Coturnix japonica: one gene and its partners. The protein of the gene in region 1 purifies or fractionates together with the protein of each later gene. This does not show direct contact. Links are inferred from orthologs where the notes say so. Each region holds a gene or a part of one and is shown in the gene's direction. Other genes may lie near its edges. The genes, in order: PTPN14, WWC2 and YWHAE.

Region 1 (6,124 bases):
CTTTTTCTTTTAAATAATGTACATGTCCTATACACTGCCTTTCATCTGCAAATCAAAATGCACCTTCTTGAGATCACTATCACTATGTCAATTTTCAGAGAAGAAAACTAAGGTACAGGGATGTGCTGTTACATGCCCCAGATCACACAGAAGACTAGTAGCTAAGGCATAGACCTCTGTCAGTAATTTTTCCCATGTACTCTACTGTTCCATGGAACATCTTAGTATAATAACCCTGATGAAGTTGTAGAAGGAACTGATAGTAAAGATATGTCAGATATACCAAAGCTGAGATAATATTTTGGAGGTAAATTCCATAGATTATTATACTAAGTCAACAACGTTATTTAGGATTGTCACCTTTTCAGCCAAATAAAATAAAATAAAATAAAATAAAATAAAATAAAATAAAATAATAAAATAAAATGCTGTAACATGATTCTCAGTGGCACAGAAAGATAATATGTAGCCCAGGCTACGTGTTACTGATAGAGGATTAACCCATCAGTTTTCTGGGCAAATTTGAACCAGCATAGAGTTTTGTATCATGTTAACATGAAACTTTTAGAACACCTAAATCTGTTTCAGTATTTTATGAAATCACCCTCCAAGAAGTAGTAAGTACTCTGTTTTAATCCCAGAGTCATGCACTCCTAGCAGCTCTTGGGGTAACAAAGCTGTATGTAAAGATTCGAGGTTTCAACAGTCTTAGAAAGGAATAGTAGCACTTACAACAGAAATTTCCTTATGGAAGACTCCTTGCAGCAACTGACTATAATCTCAATAAAGCTTTGTACTTCTAAAGCACCTCCTGCTACAGTCACTGAGAGTACAGTATAATATAGACATTGCATTAAGTAATCTCATGAGAAAAAGTGGTAATCTTCACCATTCCTGGTCTCAGAATCTTCTCTTCATTATTCTAGGGAATCATGCTGCAGGTAGGCAATGCATAAAACCTCCCATCCAGAATTTGTGAACATGCTTGTGTTTCTTGCAACTTCATTTGCAATTAAGGTCACTGAATAAGTTTTCTTCAATTGCAGACCATGAAAGTAAAAGTGGCCAGCTGCTAAACCACAAGCTCACGTTGAGGCATAGCTGCAAAAGTCAATCCTTACCATCTTAAACACAAAGAATTTACGCCTCTCTCACTGTGCAGAGAACATGACAGGAATCTAACAAGTTCAGTCTGAGTTCTGGTGCACGCTGCTTTCTCATGCAGCTTTCCACTCGGGAGGGGGAAGCTGTTTACTGGCATAAAATTGAACTGTGTAACTTCAGAGCATAGCAGATCTGAGCTTCATCTTATCATCTGACACCTGATGGTGCTTCCAGATTGCTACTGAGAGCTCTGTATCTATATGTGGTCTAATCTAGTTCAAGTAACAATCTTAAATGGTGTCACTTCTTAATGCCTCAGTGTAGCCCAATGTAAAATGGGGATAATTACTCACTTCATTTAGGTCTGCACTTATAAAACACTTGAAAGTCTTAGATGAAAAGGACTCACCTTGCAAAATGTAATTATACTAATATTATGCCAGAGGTAAGGCATGGGTCCACGATTCAATAGACAGTATTTAAATACAATTACTTATCTATCAAAATCAAGAATCCACACTATTTCTCTCTCACTCAGCTCTTGATCCTCTTATCATTATTAATCCGATTAATACTGACTGCATTGAATCTATTCACATACTCCTTCAGTAAAATGTACAAGCAGCAAAAGCATTCAGCAACTAAAAAATAGTTTCAATCCTCAGTTTGTACTGTTTTTTCATAGCTTTCCCGTTTGTAGAAGTCCTGTTGTCACGGTTTTAGACAGACACCTCCACCTGAGGTTTACACAGGTGTCCTACTAGTATTTAGATATACTTATGGGAATGTGGGTAACATTGCAATATAATGCAAAAGGAATTGCAAACTGACCATCAGCTATGACAAGCAAGGAGGCCTCATGTCATTACTAACTGACCAATCTTAGGTGTTGTGGCCTGGTGCTATCTGGCCGAAGCAATGATGGTGCTCCTTGCTTCCTACAACCTGCTGCACTCTGCCCCTTCTCCTTGCAATAGGTATGGGAAGGGCTTTCCCACAGCTGCCTAACACTAGGCATCCTGAATGCTTCATGCAGTTTGAAAGGGCTGACAATAGCAGGACACGGGGAAATGGTTTTAAGTTAAAAGAGGGAAGATTTAGGTTGGATGTCAGGGGGAAGTTCTTCACTAGGAGAGTGGTTAGGCCCTGGAACAGGCTGCCCAGGGAGGTTGTAGATGCCCCGTCCTTGGAGGTGTTCAAGACCAGGTTGGACAGGGCCCTGGGCAACCTGATCTAGTAAAGGTGTATGTTTGGTGGCCCTGCCAGGCAGGGGGGTTGGAACTACATGATCCTTGAGGTCCCTTCCAACCCGGGTCATTCTGCGATTCTGTGTGAGTTACACGAGGAAGGCAGAGGAAAGCGCAGGAGTTTCCCGGCCCACTCCCGCCCAGCCTCCTCCGGCCCCACGTCCCTCCGAAGGTGCTCGCTCCGAGCCGTGCCGTTCTTCGCCCCCACCCCAGCCTCGGCCTCGCCCCTGCTGGGGCCCCGCCGCCGCGGGCCGGGACACGTGCGCGGAGGCCGCGGCCGGGCCGTCCCCTCTTCGCCACGCGCGGAGGGAGGCGGGGAAGGGGCGGGCAGGCGCTGCGGATCTGCCCCAAACTTGGCAGCGCCGCTCTCCTTGCGAAGGCTGCTGCCGGCGGCCGCCCCCATTGGCAGTAGCCTGCGCCCTCCTCTTCCTCCCTCCTCTTCCCTTCTCCTCCTCTGGGTGGGTTTCTGCCCTCCTCTTTCGTTAGGGCGGGGGAAAAAAAAAAATATTTTTTTAAAAGAATTAAAAGAAAAAAAGAATTAAAAAAGAAAAGAAATCCCAAGTCGCGTCCCGACGTCTCCGGGCCCCGCGGCCGCAGCGGCCGCCCCACATTCCTGGCATTCCTGGGCCGTGACTCCCCGCGCCGCCCCGGCCCCAGCCCGGCCCCGGCCCCGCCGCCTCCTGCTCGCTCGCTCGCTCGCCCCCACGGGCCGGCAGTCCCCTCCCTCTCTCCCTCCTGCCCGCAGCCCTCGGGCGACGGCAGCAGCTCCGGGCGTCCCGGCCCCCCGCGCCGCCGGCGGCGGCCCCAGCTGCGCCCGCCCCGCCGAAGTTGCTCGCCGTGGCCGGGCCGGGGCGGCGGGAGCGGGTCTCCCCGCAGGGAGGAAGGCGGCCGCCTTCCGGGCCGGGATAGCGCACGAAGCCGGAGCCGCCGCCCAGCAGGTAAGGAGCCGCCGCCGAGTTGGCCGCACTTGAGTCCCGCCGCTTTCCGAGCCGTCCCGGGAGCGCGTTCCGCTCCGTGCTCCGTGTTCGTCGCTCGTTGCGCGCTGCTCTTGCAGCTCCTCGCCTGTTCGTAACCGACGAAAATAGCTCAGCTCGGGCAGGGAGTGCCAGGCGGCCAGCTGCCATCAGCGGGCTCGGACAGCCCGGCCGGCAAAGGGCTACGATCTGCGGGACACGCGGCGCTGGTGGGTGCTCGCGGATCCTCGGGTTCTATCGCCGTGCCCGCTGCACTCTCCGACCCGGTACCTTCGCCTTTGTTACTGCTGCACCGAGCTGTGCCCGGGCGGGGGGCAGTGGCACAGCGGCGGTGCCCGGGAGGGCTCCGGGCTCGCTTTACGGAACGCGTTTGGGACGGGCTTACATAATGTACGTGTGGCGTGTTGACTGACCGTGTGCTGCCGTCTTCCTATCGAGAGGGTTTTATCTGTGTTTTGCATCACGTTACCACATGCTTCTATCGTGAGCATCTCTTCGGTTGTTGGTAACTTTACCGAGGTGGCAGCAAACAGAGGTCGGTAGAAGCTCTGATTCAACGTGCTGCCGGCCCAGAAAGTTTTCTGGGATTTCTGGCATGTGGCCTGAAACCATAGCTGAAAGAAATTGTTCTGCCAGAAGCCGCTTCTCTCTTTTCCTTGGAGCTCTTAACCACTGCTGGCTCCGGCTATTCCAGAAACACTGTTACATGCTGAAGTTCCTCGGAGCCGGGGAAATCTGCCTGCAAAATGGCTCCCCCCGCCCCCAAGTGCCACCTGCGGCTTCTCCATCGTGGGGAAGGCACTTTGGGGGCCACTTGTCGGTCTGTGATGTTCAGTCTGCGGGTATCACACATCCCTCATTCTCTGGAAGGTCAGTGTCTGGCAGGCAGCACTCTTTATATGGTGTAACATTCGGCGTGTTGGTATCAGAGCAGTGCACATAAGCTGTAGGCCCTGCTCTGTTGCTGACAGCACTTCTCTGAACTTTTTGTTCAGAGGCTGTTCAGCTTTTCAGGGAGGCTGTGCAGAGCTGCTCGCAGGCAGAGGGCACTTGTGTGTATGCAGTGGGTGGCAGTAGGAGCATTGGGAGCGCTGCCTGCGTGGCCTCATCAGCAGGAAGGTGCTCCCTGGGCCTGTGGCCATCTGGTCCTCTATGGTACCTGTGTGCGCTGGGCTTGAGGGCATGGCTGTGGAGTTGCCATGGTGTAGGCTGGGGCTGCTCTCTAAGCTTCTCTGTCTACGTTGGTGAATGGTTTTAAGCAGGTCTGATAAACATTTTGGAGATAGCAGAAGAAATAGTTTTGGAGCAGAGTTGATTACCTGGTAATCAACCATGGTGCTTGCCTTGACCGCTCTCCTTGTCCATCCTGTCAGTCACTTAGCACCGTGTAAGAGGGGACTGGCTTCCTGCAAAGTAGATCTGTTCCCATGCACTTAGCAGATTGCCTCGGCCTCCAGTGGCTCCTCCAGTCTTGAAGAAAGCATTTGATATATATATATATATATATATATATATTTAAATATTTGCTTACGTACTTCTGCTAACTATGCTGTTTCTTTGTTCTAAGTCTGTTTGGTACCGCTGCAGCCTAAGGGGTTAGTCTTCACTTGTTTCTCCTCGTACTCGATAAGGCTGTGTTTGATTCTGTGTTTCTGATGTTACTGCTGCTGATGTGCAGATCGTAGCAAGTTCTCAGTGGGTCACAAGTCTTAGTCCTTCAAAGAGTCGCCTATGTGCTTGAATTCATATTCCTGAATGCTGCTTTGGAAACTGTGGAATTTCTTTATTATTAATAGCTACAGACATGTACACAAGAACTAGGCTATAATGTTTAGTGTGCAATATATTTGTGCATGTGTATCCAGCTCAATTGTAAGAAGATTTTGATAAAGGCTTAACTTCTATGCTAAAAAGTCTCTTTGATGTCCAGGTCCACTGCAATTGCATAACACCTTGGCCTACTGCCCTCTGGAGCTCCAGAAGAGCAGATCTTGCTGACATGCGGTGGCACTGAAGTTGTTGCTACTCGTATGAGGAATCCATGCTTGAGGTTCTCTGAAACTTTGTCTGAAAAAGCTCTGTTCCATCTCGGCATGTTTGCCCTCCTGTGCCTAATGCTGGAGCAAACTCATGGGGTGATTTTGGCTGCCTGTGTCTGTGCTTCTCTATGTGCCCAGAGCAAGCATCATTTGTCCACCCATGCTGCCCAGCTTCTGCACAGGGCTGCTGCACAGCCTTCTGGTTTGCAGCATGCTCTGAGTTTATAAGGTTACCTACAGATGTAGGAACGGGCCTTAAGGTAGAAGCTGTCCCCTGTCACTCTGCCCCTGTCCTCTGCCTTGGGCTGTGTGTGTGTGTGTGTGGGGGGGGGGTGTTAAAGTGTCAGAAGGGTGGCATTAGGCCTCGGTAAGGTTATGGGAGTTATCCTGATTGGTCTTCATCTCTTTCAAGAAATAGTGTGATTCCAGTGGGTTCATATTATGCCTTTTACTTCTACTTTGTGCACATTATTGTGGTTGAGTTACCTTCCTTTTGAATCAATGAGGATGATTTTCAATAAATTTGCTATTATTGTTTTGTTTGTTGACATACAGTAGAACGTTTTTTTTTAAGCAAACTTTATGAATTCAAGGGTGGTTGTGTGTAAAGAAACAAAAGGAGTAGAAAAATTATAATTTCCTGATCTTCAGCTGTTAGTGCATACTATAATGAAATCTGGCCTCATCTTAGGGAGCTGGTGGAGATGGTGGTCAATTGAAGGTGCTGTAACTATGTAGGTACAGTGGTTTACCTTCTGAG
Region 2 (6,124 bases), on another chromosome or scaffold:
CCGCGTGTCAGGGAAGTCATACTGGCTGTCCAGATTGGTTTGTATAGTATTTAAGTGACTAAAAAATAAATAGCAGCATAAACAATACGCATATATTCAAGCATTTCTCAGATTTTTTAGAGATTCATTAATTCCGACAGCATATTCCGTAATTTATTCTGCATTCAAATGCTGTTTGAAAGCACTGGAGACTGAACTATAATGCAGCTTTTCAGGGAGACAGCTACAGCTCTGGATGCTGAACCATTTGTGGCTATTATGAATGAGAACTGTAACGACTGGAAATTTCTTCAGGGACATCACTTTAGTGGATGATCAAACTAAGGATCGGTAACTAGCAGCTGGTTCCAGAGAAAATAATAACCTCAGTAGCTTTTCTCTCAATTTACATAACAAAAAACATTACTGATAAACTAAAACAGAAATCCAGCTTATCATGTCTCACAATTGTCTCATGTACTTTCTCACTGTAGGATGACACTTAAAAGCAAGTTTATAAAATTAGACTCTTGAAAGTGATAGAAGTTTTAATAGATAGTAAAAGAACTTCTTCACTCTGGTGAAAAACAAGGCTGGACATTATAAACCAGTCAGCTGACTGAAACATAATACTCTCAATGAAAATAAATGAGTCTGGCACTTTAGTAGGCAATGATCCTGTTACTTTCTGTAGCTGAACTCTTATGGAGATGCAGAGGCTTGCACACATCAGTTCTTCTCCAGTGTTAACCACCAGGGCCTTACTTGAAGTATGTACTTTCATTACACATTGCCTTAATTCAGCAGATGTGAAAATAAAATCGTCAAGAGAGTCTGAAGGTGAACCAGCAGGTGTTTTTGGGAGGCATACAGCTATTTACAGAGATGGAACAGCAGATTAGTATTACAGAATAAAATGATTAGAATGACTAAGATAGCAAATGTCTTCACCAGATCAACAATTAGCTAAATTAAGATCATATCTCCTTTCTATTTTTCTTCTGTTTAGGAGCAGATCCAACAATGAGATTTGGATGCCTGTAAATCAATCGCTGCAACACCTAATGGTTGGGTGTTTGGCCTCTGAAGTGGAATCCAAAACCCTGTTGGGCGCTGCATCAGCCTGGTGCTTAGTAAGCACAAATTGTGTCAGGAGAATAATCCATAGAACTGAGTACTAAGCTGTAGAAGGATAGGGGAAAATAAATAAATAAAGAAGCAAACCATCAACAACAAACCCACAGGTCTGGATTCCAAACCTTCTTTCCCACAAAAACTTTGTGTTATTCAATCCAGGAAAGTATAAAGAAAACGATCTAGAAAGCAGGGAGCAAACCCTGGGCTCCTCAGGAGTCCCAGTTATCAAACAGCAGTCATATTCCCCCTCTGTAGTTCCACTTCTTAAGCCAAACCCTGGGGATCAGATGCACAAACTAATTACCAGAGCTCATCAGGTTACCTTCTATCAGCCGAGCCATGGCAACCTGCCTCACTACCGCCGTAATTCACACCTGGCTTCTCAATGCAACGTGCGCGGGCTGCCTTTCAGGCCAGAAGGGCACCTGTTAAAAAAAAAAACAAAAAAAAACCCACAAAACCAAACGATCGAAAAGTTTAAAGTCTTCTCGGAGTTCAAGAGAAAAAGCTCAAAATTAAAGTGAAAGGGAAAACCAGGCTGTTTTAAGCACCGAGGTCTTTCTACCAACCCTCGAGTCTTAGCGGGGTTTTAGAGCGAGTTCAGAGGAGCGCACTGAGAAACGCACTGACACAGCCCGGGGACACAGCCGCCCTCCCGCTCCGCTCCTCTCAGCTCAGCGCCCGCACTGGAGCGCCCCGAGGGCCGCGGGCTGCGCCACCTGACGGCGCCTCGGGGACAAAGGGAACGCCGGGCGCACCTCGCCGCCCCCGCTCCGCTCTCCCCTTCCTCTCGTAGGCAGCTCCCGCGGTCAGCCCCAGGCCCTGCCTCGGCCCTTCTGCTCCCGCCCCCGTTTCCTCCGCCAACTTGTTCGTGCCTTTTCCGCGACCCCGCCCGGGTCTGGGTTTCCCCCCGTCCCGCGGGCGCGGTGTGGGGGCAGCGCCGGCAGGGTTAACCCTGAGGAATGCGGCGGGAGGAATGTGCATGCAGATGAGGTGGATGCTAATCTCATGCTAATGAGCGGCGGCCGCAGCCGCCCGGGGCTCAGCCGGGCTCCCCGCGCACAGACGGCAGCTGGGCTCCGCCGGGATCCCTGACCTGGGCTGCCGCCCGCCCGCCCGCGGCAGCCCCGGCACGGTGGGCCGAGAGCCGGCGTTGGAGGAGCTGCTCCCCGGGCTGCCGCCAGCGTCGTCCTCCGGCTCCGGGCCGGGCTCGGCTGCGGGGCCCCCTCCGCGTCCCCTCGGCTCGGGTGGGGGCTTTTCCCGCTTCCCTTCTTTCTTTCCGTCCCTATGGAGCAGCCGCCCCCGCCGGCCGACCATGCCTAGGAAAGCGGGGAATGGGCAGCTCCCCTTACCCGATGGCTGGGAGGAGGCGAGGGATTACGACGGCAAAGTCTTTTACATCGACCACAACACCAAGCAGACCAGCTGGATCGACCCCAGGGACAGGTGGGTGCGAGGCGGGGGCTGCAGCGGGGTGCTGCCGGCCTGAGGCCGCGGAGCCCGGGACAAAAGGCGCCGAGGGCGACCGAGCCGCCCAACAGGTACAAAAGTTGGCCGAGCGGCCGGCCGCCATCCCGCCCCCCGCCCCGAGCACGGAGCCGACTCGGTGCGGCACCACGGGCCTCCAGCCCGGCCGTCCCGGCGCGAGGAGCACGGCGCGGCCGGGGGAGCAGCTGCAGGCCTCGCGTGCCCGCTAGGCCTCGGCACGGCTCAGCACCCCGCCAGCCGCAGCCTCCTCCGGCTCTGAGGGCTGAAACGGGCAAAACTCGCCTCCAAAACGCTCTGCTGAGCGGCGTGGGCAACTCGCGTGTTGCGAGCGGGAGAGTCATCGGGGCAGCTCTTCCAGCTGGGGAGAGGCGGTGGCCTTCGGTCCTGCCCCGCTCACCGTGCGGGGAAACGCCCGGGTACCTGCCTCGAGTTGTGAGGCAGCGCTCCTGGAAAGTAATGGGAAGAGAGAACTTTGTGTATATATCCACGTTGTTTCCGCACTGTGTGTAACGTGATGTTGAAAACGGTCCATTCGAGTTATCAGAAACTTGCAGAAGGAGTTATGAACGCGTGGAACAAGCTGTCCTGCATTATAAATGAGAGCCCGGGTTTGTGTTTCTCAGAGGCTGGAGCTGCCCTGGGCTCGCAGTGCGGAGCGCTGACAAGCAGCACACGCTGCACAGGCCCGCTCCACTCTCACACTTGTTGCAGCAGCAAATTCCAGCCAGGGTGAACTTCGTGCTTAACGTGCTTTCAAGTGCAAAGGAATTCAAATGCCTTGTAAATATTAGTGAGGTGGTAAAGTGTACGGGACGGTGTTGTTAATTACACCTGTGATAAATGGGCCTTTTTGAGTCATTGATTTTTATTTTTTTACAGCGGACAATAAAAAAGTTCTGTCTTTCCCATCTCTAGAAGTAGTGTATTTAAGGAGTCACTCGGTGGTAGACTTTGAATTTCTCTTTGCAAAGCAGATGGTGAGGCGGTGTAATCAAGGTGAAGCAAAAAGTGACATTTGAGGACCTACTTGTTACAATTGCGCCTCAGGAATATACTAATTTAGAATTATATTCTTTGTGTTCTCTGGCCCTGAAGAGTTCAAGGATACACATACTTGGCGGTAACATTTGAGTCTTTGCTGTCATTAGTAGACTATACAGCTAAGGGAGTAGCAGTGCACTGCTTGCCATCCTGTAGGTACGGGATAAGTGTTGTTCCATTAATACATTGATTACAGGTGAAGGAGAAATTGAATCCTGAGACTCGATGGTCTGTCATGAGAACTGAGGAAGTAAAGACCTTCTTGAGAGAGTGCGGTGTTTGAAATAACTGCTTTCACTCTTCACTCATGGAAAACAAGCAGAGGGATTTTGTGCTATGGAATTCCTAACTTAATGTACATGGCTCAGCCGTGGAGCTGAATCGCCCTCACAGGAAACTGACAAGCACATTTAATCTGCAGTTTACATTACCTGTATTTACAGTATCTGTATTTACAATCTGTTTGTATTGGTGGCCTGGCCTCGAGATGGCTTTGCTTGAGAGTCCTTTCTGTTTCCCAGGTATTTAGAAAATGTGTATTCTGAAACCATACAAACATAATGAAGGCTCCATGTCAGTAAAACTGACATGTGATCTTCCAGGTTTGTCAGTACAGTACAATCTAGATTTGCCTTGTTACTGCAGCTCACCTTAACTTGTCAAAGCGGAGGTAATGCATCCTACAGAAGGTCTGAGGTCTGACGCTTCAGGGCTTTGATTTCAACTTCATTCTGTGATGGAGGTTAAAAAGTTTTCATAAAGTACTTGTGGACCCAAAGTCCTTCATTTCTACAGCAAGTGTAGAAGCAGTGTGGTATTGTTGTATTGACTTTTTTTTTTTCTTCTGCTTTTGTGGTACAGCATCCCCTGGATATTTTTATACAGAAATGTCTTACATGATGTTTCAAGATCCTTTTTAATCCACTTTGATTTAGAAAGTACTAGCCTCCAGTATTCATACAATGAGACTTGTGCCGTGTGTCTGTGGGCCAGCAGGTGTATTTGGGAACAGCTGGGAGTCTCAGTGTTACTGGTATGAAATAGTCTAGAAATAAACTGAAAGACAAAATGCCATATTCCAAAGTTTAATGGAACAATTTGTGATTTTTATTATTATTATTTTTAATTTACCCTACTTTTTTCATCTGCTTTTTTAGACCTTCTGATAGTGCGTGTTACTATATGTATGGTTTAGGTCTGTTACTATAATATCTTATGTATAACAGGAAGAAAATCTCACATCAGCTTCAACCTTGAGGCTCAGTTCTTGTTTTTGCCCTCTCTGAGTAACCCCACTGACATTAGAGTAGCTCACACTTGCAAGGGCAAAAGTGATTTGACTTGTGTGTTTCTAGGAGTGCTGTGTTGGTTATTGGAATTGCTCTGTTCTGCGTTTTTTTAATGTTTTGTTTCTCTGTTCAACAGTGATTGCTCTCTGCAAACTCTTAGGTTACCGTATGGAAGGCTGATGGTTGAAAGGGGAGGGAACTTGAGGTGTAAGTTTGAGGAAGAGGAGACAGAACAGTGAGAATGTGGGAGTTGTAGCAGCTTTTTCACTGACTAAATATATGGGTGTTATTGCTCCTCGCGTCTTGCTTTCTGCATAGTAAATAGTCTGTGCTTCACTACTCACCGTCACTGACATAAAATACATTGCTACATTGATGTCTTTTCTAAAATGAATTCCGCATCACAAATTCTGCACTTGCAACAGGTCTTTATTTAAATGCTTGTCTGCACTCACATCAAAGTGGCAAGGAATGAGCTGCAATGGAAAAAAAGAAACAGCACTTTCTTTCTGCCTCTGCTTCTCTTTCTGCTGGGAAGGAGCAGCTTCCAATACATGGATGTATTTAAAATCATTCATGGTATGCTTGTCCGAGAGTGTCTCTAGGGGACTCGCTAACTCTGTAACCAAGGCAGTGCGTGAGAAACATTGGATGAGCAGAAAGCAGACAGCTTTGCTGCTTGTGCACTGTAAGAGTTTTCTTAGTGCTGACGAGGACAGGTAATGATGTTTCTATTGCTGCTTTCATCTTCCAGGGAGCTGAAAACTACTGTTTCTGTCATGGGTTTCAGTTACTGGGGTAGGAGTTGTCTGTCCAAATCAGAGCTTCAGTAGTTGCCTGTAGTTAAATGCTGTGTCCTCTTCCCTTAGAGAAGGACGCTTTGTTACTTCATGTTTCACCGGAGCTTGCTTTCTCCACTCTGTTGAGCATCAGAAGCTGTGAGAAGGGATGGTGTTGAGGTTGAAATCACTTGAGAAGGGTTGATCTTAATTCCATTTTGAGTACAAATCCTAACACTTCTGATGTAAGGTACAGTTGAGGTGTCCCACTTGTGCAGCTGTGTGGTGGGATCAGATCATGTCTTTTTTTCCCTCACTTGTAATTCCCAGTGTCTTTTCCTGCCTTATTTCAGCCTGTGGTATCATCTGCTTAACTCCACGTAACTTATTCATGCCTGCTTGTCTGTCCAG
Region 3 (6,033 bases), on another chromosome or scaffold:
TTAAAACAATTAAACCCAACACCTGCAGAAGGAAGATGAGATGACTAAAAGGAGTTATCAACCAGAAAAGGTTGATGGTGTGAAAGGTGAATGGCTGTAACTAACTGAGTTCCTTAAGTCCAGGGGGAGAGGGAGAACTATTCTCATTGCAGGAGGAGGACTCAGGAAGAAAGTAAAAATGAGACTTGTTAGTTATTAGTCTCAATTCTAACTGTAGGGATGCATTAGAAAATAGTTTGGGGGTTCTTGAGATGACTTAAATGAAAATACTCCTAAACATTTGGCCTTCTGGGGGTGCTCTTTAGCTCACAAGGCCCTCACTGCATAGAATAGGCCATATTTTATACTTTATAGTATATATATATTTTAAATATATACTATATATATTTTAATAACGCTTTACTACACTGTATGTTGGTTCTGGGAGTAGGCAGGGAGGAGTCTTGATGTCAGTAATCCTTTCTTGCTGGTATGTTCAACAATGGCATTTGTTTCACTACATTACAATTAAAGCATTCAGTATTTTAGTTACTTGGTATTCAGTTGGCAGGTTACTACACATAACTTTCCTCATCAGTACTGTTTAGTGGAGTCCTCGAGTGGGACTTTGCACTTAACTATACTGAGATGCCAGTTTTCCTGTCCACACAATAAGCCCATCAGCCTCATATAATAAATTTCCACAGGGAGAAGCACTGCCCTCAGCTTTACTCCTTGCTCACCTACCTCACTATTGGTATTTGCAAGTCTCCATGGCTTTGTCATGAAGGATTTATGCAGAGTTCTATTGCTTCTTCTTGCAGTGGTGACTTTCTGTTGCAGTAGCAGCCCAATCAATGTGTGTAAATGTTGTGTGTGCAAAGGACAAGGCAAGGATTGCATCAGGAAATTGAGGATCAAGTAAAGTCCCTACGTTGAGGCAAATCGAATTGATCATGTACAGTCCCACACAAAACTAAGTCTTAGCTGCTGAGAAAATAGGCTTTTTTAGTTAAGATTTATGAAGGGCGGAGGTGATTGTAAGTTGCGCAGTGTTACACAAATACACTGACCGTAATCCGCTGGGATTCTATATAATTCTATAAAAATCATAGTAATATTTTAGGTACATCCATAAGCAAACCATCCAATTGTCAGTTTTACACAACCTTAAGTCTTCGTTAACTTGAAATAATGCAATGAAATGAATCAGGTGACAATAAACCGATGGTTAAACCTGTGCCTCTGATCAGTGGGCACAACATAGAACACAAATGGATACTCAGCTCTGTCCAAGAGGTGCCGGGGATGCTCTGTCTCTGCTGCGTATCAGAAGCTGCAATGGCCTCTGTGGGCTCTCACACCTCAGGAAGGCCAAGAGCCTTCAGCCCATCCAAGGAGACACTGGAAAAAGAGATACGAGCCTGTTCATAGCGGATACGAGCTCATACCCACCCTGAACAAACCTCACGTTTATCTTAGCCAAACAGAATCACTTTTCTTTTGCTTTTTCTTTGATTTGGGAAACGGGGGGGTGTTATCATAACGCTTTCAATGCCTGCTCGGTGGATTTCAGGCCTCTGTGAGGAATTGATGCCACATTCCTCTCACGTTCCAGTTCCATCCCCTCAGTGATCAGTCAGTGATGGCAGCCACAGCGCTCCCCCATCACACAGCCTGCCTTTCTACAGGCATTCCTATACCCGGGACGAATACAACAGGGAAAGGCCGCTGTACTTTGAATACACCAGATCTGAGAGGAAGGAGAAAAGCGCAGCCAGACTGAGGGAAAACCCGGCCACTCCGATCCTCCCCGCACCCCCACCCGGCTCTTTAACACACTAGCAGGGCTCCCTACCAGCACCCCCAACCCCAACCGGCTCCGCACCGCGGCCCTCGGCCTCCACATCGCGGCGGATCCGCATCCTCACGGCCGCCGCTCAACAGCAAAATGGCGGCCGGTCCCAACCCCGGCCCGGCCACATCCCGCCCGTTACTAAGGAGCCGCCGTTGCTATGGGATGCCGTAGGGCGCATGCGCGCGGTTGTGGAAGTGCCCGGATGCAGCGGGAGGAGGTGCTGCCGCCATATTTGCCCGGAGAGCAGCGAGCTGGTAGCTGCTGAGCCCCACAGACCCATCGGCTTCCATCCGCCCCGTACGCTCCCCGACGCCGCTCCGCCTGCAGGACATGGACGATCGGGAGGATCTCGTCTATCAGGCTAAGTTGGCCGAACAGGCTGAACGTTACGATGGTGAGCGGCGGCCGGGAAGGCCGTGAGAGGCCAAGGGGAGAGAGAGGGAGGGAGCGGCCACAAAATGGCGGCTGGGCGGGGGTGGGGGGGGCAGGGGCGGAGGAGGGGGGCGCCGACAAAATGGCGCCGGGGAGCGCCCCGAGGGCCGCGGAACCGGGGATGGGGGGCCCTGAATGAGCGGGCGGCCTCGGCCTGGGCGTGGCCCGCTACGGGGGGCGGTGGCGGCAGAAGCCGGGAAGAAAATGGCGGCCGCGAAGGGCGAGTCCTGGGGGGGGGAAGGGGGGAGCCGCCCCCGCCTCGGGGGTCCGACAAAGAGACCCCACTGCTTAGCGCCGTGCGGGCGGCTGTGGCGGTGCCGGGCGGCTCCTTAGTGCTGCGTTTCCCTCCGGCCGCGGCCCCGCGGAGCTCGGCGCTGTGGGGCTGAGCTCGGTTCGCCGCAGACAACGCCCCGCTCTCCGGAAGGTTCGTGCCGGCCCCTCGGGGGGGGCGATGCCGGAGGGACCCGAGGGAGCGGGATGGCGCTTCTCTTTCTCTCCCTTCGCTTTCCATTGGAGGCACGGCTCTCATTCACCCTGCAGCCGTCTGGCACTGCCCGTCATTACCTGAAGGAAGAACACATGCTTTCATTACACGCTGGAAATCATTACAGACCATTTTACGTTCCCACTTTGTCTCTTTTTTCCTCCCCCCCCCCTTCCCTCATTTGCCTTATGAAATTAGAGCTCTGATCCCTTTATATCTTGGGGAAAAAAAAGGGGCGGTGGGGAGGAGCTGGCAGCCCTGGATGGTATTTCTTGCCCCCAAAATGTCTGCCGTGTGACTGTTCCCTTCAAGGTGCTTTTCTTGCCTATAGAAGAAAGGGCCTTTAATTTTCTCAATGGGGTTGTTATTTCTGCCCTTAGATCTGTATTTCAAGTGGAAGAAAAGCCGGTGTGTGTGTAAAGGGTGGGAGTACAGTTAGGTTTCATTTAGAAGTGGGGAGATGCTTTGGGTCCTTTAATTGATCAGGGTTTTCACAGAGCAGGGAAGTCAGCTGGTGAGAATTAGGCTTTGTTCTCTGAGTTACTGCTTAGAAAACTTCTGATAATGGGATTCCAAAGCTGAGAAATACACCTTTTGGGGGAGGAAAACAGAAATGAAGGAGTAATTAAGACCATCTGCAGTGAATGTTCTGGTAGAAATGGGGTAGGAATAAGAATCGTACTGAGTGACAGCAGCCAGATAGTCTCCTTGTTGTAACTGCAGGGACTTGGGGGAAAAAACGTCCCCCAAAGCAGGTTTTGTGGGGTGACTTGTGCCCACCCCTTCAAGTAAGATGCAGCTCATAGTAGGAGAGCAACATCTGTGGGTACAAGTGGTTGAGGAGGGGGGTGTAGATTTGGGGTATCTTGGTTTTTTTGTCTCCTTAGGAGTGTGGGATGGGAAGGTGCATTGTTCTCATTGCTGCCATCTTCCACAAAGACCACAAATCCAGCAGTATTGGGGTGTGTGTGGGGGAGGGTTTGTTCACCTGGTACAGATGAGCCTCAGCGCAGGGGTGAGCTGTGGTTTGAATGGAACTCCAGGCTAAGGATGTTTGGGGGATACATCATCCTTTTGAGGTATAACTGATGCTTTCCTAGCTGAATGGGAAGTCACTTCTTTGGAAAGCAATCAGACCTTCCCTTATTGTAGAAATCTGCAGCACAGCCTGATTTCCTTATCAAAAAAGGTTGATAGAGATAGAAATGCCACACAAAGGCAGTCAGTGGGCTTCCAATCCCAATGCTCCAGTGGGTGTTTGAAGAATGAATTGCCTAGGTCAGAATTCAGAGGGCTTCTGTGTGGCTTCTGAGTGTTAATAAGAACACCCTCACTGAGGAGGTAATGATAATCATAGTGTTCTTATCTTTAAAGCAATATTGTGGGATTCAGACTTGCAGAATTTGTTGGCATGGAGTTGAATCAACAAATTTAAGGTGCATCCCTTAACTCTCCATGTTGTTCTATAGCTTTCCGCCTTTTTTTCTGTCCCTGGCCTGGAAAAATAAATACTGTAGGTACAGGTTTAGCATCTAATTCTGTATCGTTCAGTTGGAAGCAATTAAAAAGTGAAGAGTATATTCTCATTTACATGAAAGTAAGTGCTGAGGCTGCTCAATGTGAATGAAATGCTGTGGGGAAGTGAAGTGATGCTTAGTTTCATTCTTTAGTTTTACCTTTGAGATACATGATGGTGAGGTAATAGTGAATAACTTCCAGATACTACTGATGGTAAGTACTGGCTACAAATGTGCTGGAATAGAAACCTGTTCTGTGACTTGAATATGAATGTAAAATGACAATTTTTGATGTTTAATGTTAGGATAGCGTTACGTTCTGCCACATCTTTCTCAGTGAGGCTCAGCGTGCTGTGTGGTTAGAACAGCCATGGTCCATGGCATTTGAGGCAGCTTCTAAGGTAGGAATCTAATAAGTTTTTTGGGTTTTTTTTAGTTACATGACCCACTTAAGTTCTGAAGCCTTGCAGGCTGTGCCTGCCAGTTGTTGGGAATGTAGTTCTGTCTCTGTACAGCCCTTGGTGTATCGGCCCAGATTAAGAGGACAACTTTCTTAGGTGCCTCTGCAGTGTAAATAATGCTTAAAGCTGTGATCCCTAGAGATAGTAAGAGATTTGGGTGTCTGTCTTTACGGATCTACCCAGGCGTGTCATGACAGATCACAAAATGCCGGGCAGCCTACTTGTATTAGAGAAAGCTTTGTGACAAATCGTACTTGAGGAAAAAAAAAATCACATTTACCTGCACTTGATAGAACCACAGAATGGCCTGGGTTGAAAAGGACCACAATGATCATCTGGTTTCAACCCCCCCTGCTATGTACAGGGTCGCCACTGCCCAGAGCCACATCCAGCCTGGCCTTGAATGCCTGCAGGGATGGGGCATCCACAGCCTCCTCGGGCAACCTGTTCCAGTGCGTCACCACCCTGAGTGAAAACCCTTTGAGTTCCTTCAAAGATGGTTCCCAATTGCGTAATATATATAAAATGTCTTTTCTGGGAAACAACTGGAGTTGATAAAATTGCGTTGGTTTATGAAATCACTAACTCTTTACTTTCTCACATCAAAAGATTGTATGTATCTGCGTTCTCATGGACTGCTGAATGTCAAAACTAACTCTCTGTTGCAGAAGCTAGGTAGCACCTTTCTTCTCATCAGTAGAGAAGCATGCTAGGATAGAAGGTAAGCTCCGAGTGAATCCTGTGGGTGCTTCAGTCCTGCCAACAGATTTGTGCCACAGATCTTGAAATACATCATTTGAAGTTTACCCAGGGTGTAGCAGGTGAGGATAATAGCTCTGTTTACAGCTGGGAAGAAGATAATTGACAGCTCTCCTGATTCCCAGTACAGCAAGTCAACATGTAACTCCTGTGTTGCTATTAACTCATTGCCAGAGAAGCAAACCTTCCCTCTGAAGGCAACAAGGTGTGCACTGAATCCAAAATCTGAACATATTGTAGAATGAGTTGGCTCACAGTAGCAGGACTTGCAATTACAGCTTGCTGAAGAATCAAATTCTCACTTATGAGATAGATGAATGATTAAGTTGCTCATAATTTTCAGTTTGCAGTGGTCCTCTTTCAAGTAAATAATATAAATGCATCTGAGGGGTGTAATTCCCCTCTGCCCAGCAGAGCTGTGTGAGGACCTTTGATAATTTGCCTCTTGAAACGTCTGAGATACCAGAAGTGTTGAGCATCCAACCTTAGATGGCTCAGTGCCCTGCAGGAAGCCCACGTACTGGGTTAGTGTCCATTAACTTA

Evidence for each region.
Region 2: the proteins of PTPN14 (region 1) and WWC2 purify together in Homo sapiens (affinity purification with mass spectrometry, with the first as the bait; 3 studies listed by BioGRID). This does not show direct contact. The link is inferred for Coturnix japonica from reciprocal best matches to the Homo sapiens genes PTPN14 and WWC2.
Region 3: the proteins of PTPN14 (region 1) and YWHAE purify together in Homo sapiens (affinity purification with mass spectrometry; 3 studies listed by BioGRID and IntAct, with this or other methods). This does not show direct contact. The link is inferred for Coturnix japonica from reciprocal best matches to the Homo sapiens genes PTPN14 and YWHAE.

The regions. Positions count from the first base shown.
Region 1 is NC_029518.1:18,514,786-18,520,909, forward strand, and holds the start of PTPN14 (tyrosine-protein phosphatase non-receptor type 14), read left to right. Parts: upstream 1-3,179; 5' UTR 3,180-3,289; intron 3,290-3,425; exon of another isoform or gene 3,426-3,534; intron 3,535-6,124. UniProt on the Homo sapiens protein: Protein tyrosine phosphatase which may play a role in the regulation of lymphangiogenesis, cell-cell adhesion, cell-matrix adhesion, cell migration, cell growth and also regulates TGF-beta gene expression, thereby modulating epithelial-mesenchymal transition.
Region 2 is NC_029519.1:35,376,743-35,382,866, reverse strand, and holds the start of WWC2 (protein WWC2), read left to right. Parts: upstream 1-1,902; 5' UTR 1,903-2,431; coding exon 2,432-2,562; intron 2,563-6,124. UniProt on the Homo sapiens protein: Regulator of the Hippo signaling pathway, also known as the Salvador-Warts-Hippo (SWH) pathway.
Region 3 is NC_029534.1:3,989,004-3,995,036, forward strand, and holds the start of YWHAE (14-3-3 protein epsilon), read left to right. Parts: upstream 1-2,030; 5' UTR 2,031-2,167; coding exon 2,168-2,231; intron 2,232-6,033. UniProt on the Homo sapiens protein: Adapter protein implicated in the regulation of a large spectrum of both general and specialized signaling pathways. Binds to a large number of partners, usually by recognition of a phosphoserine or phosphothreonine motif.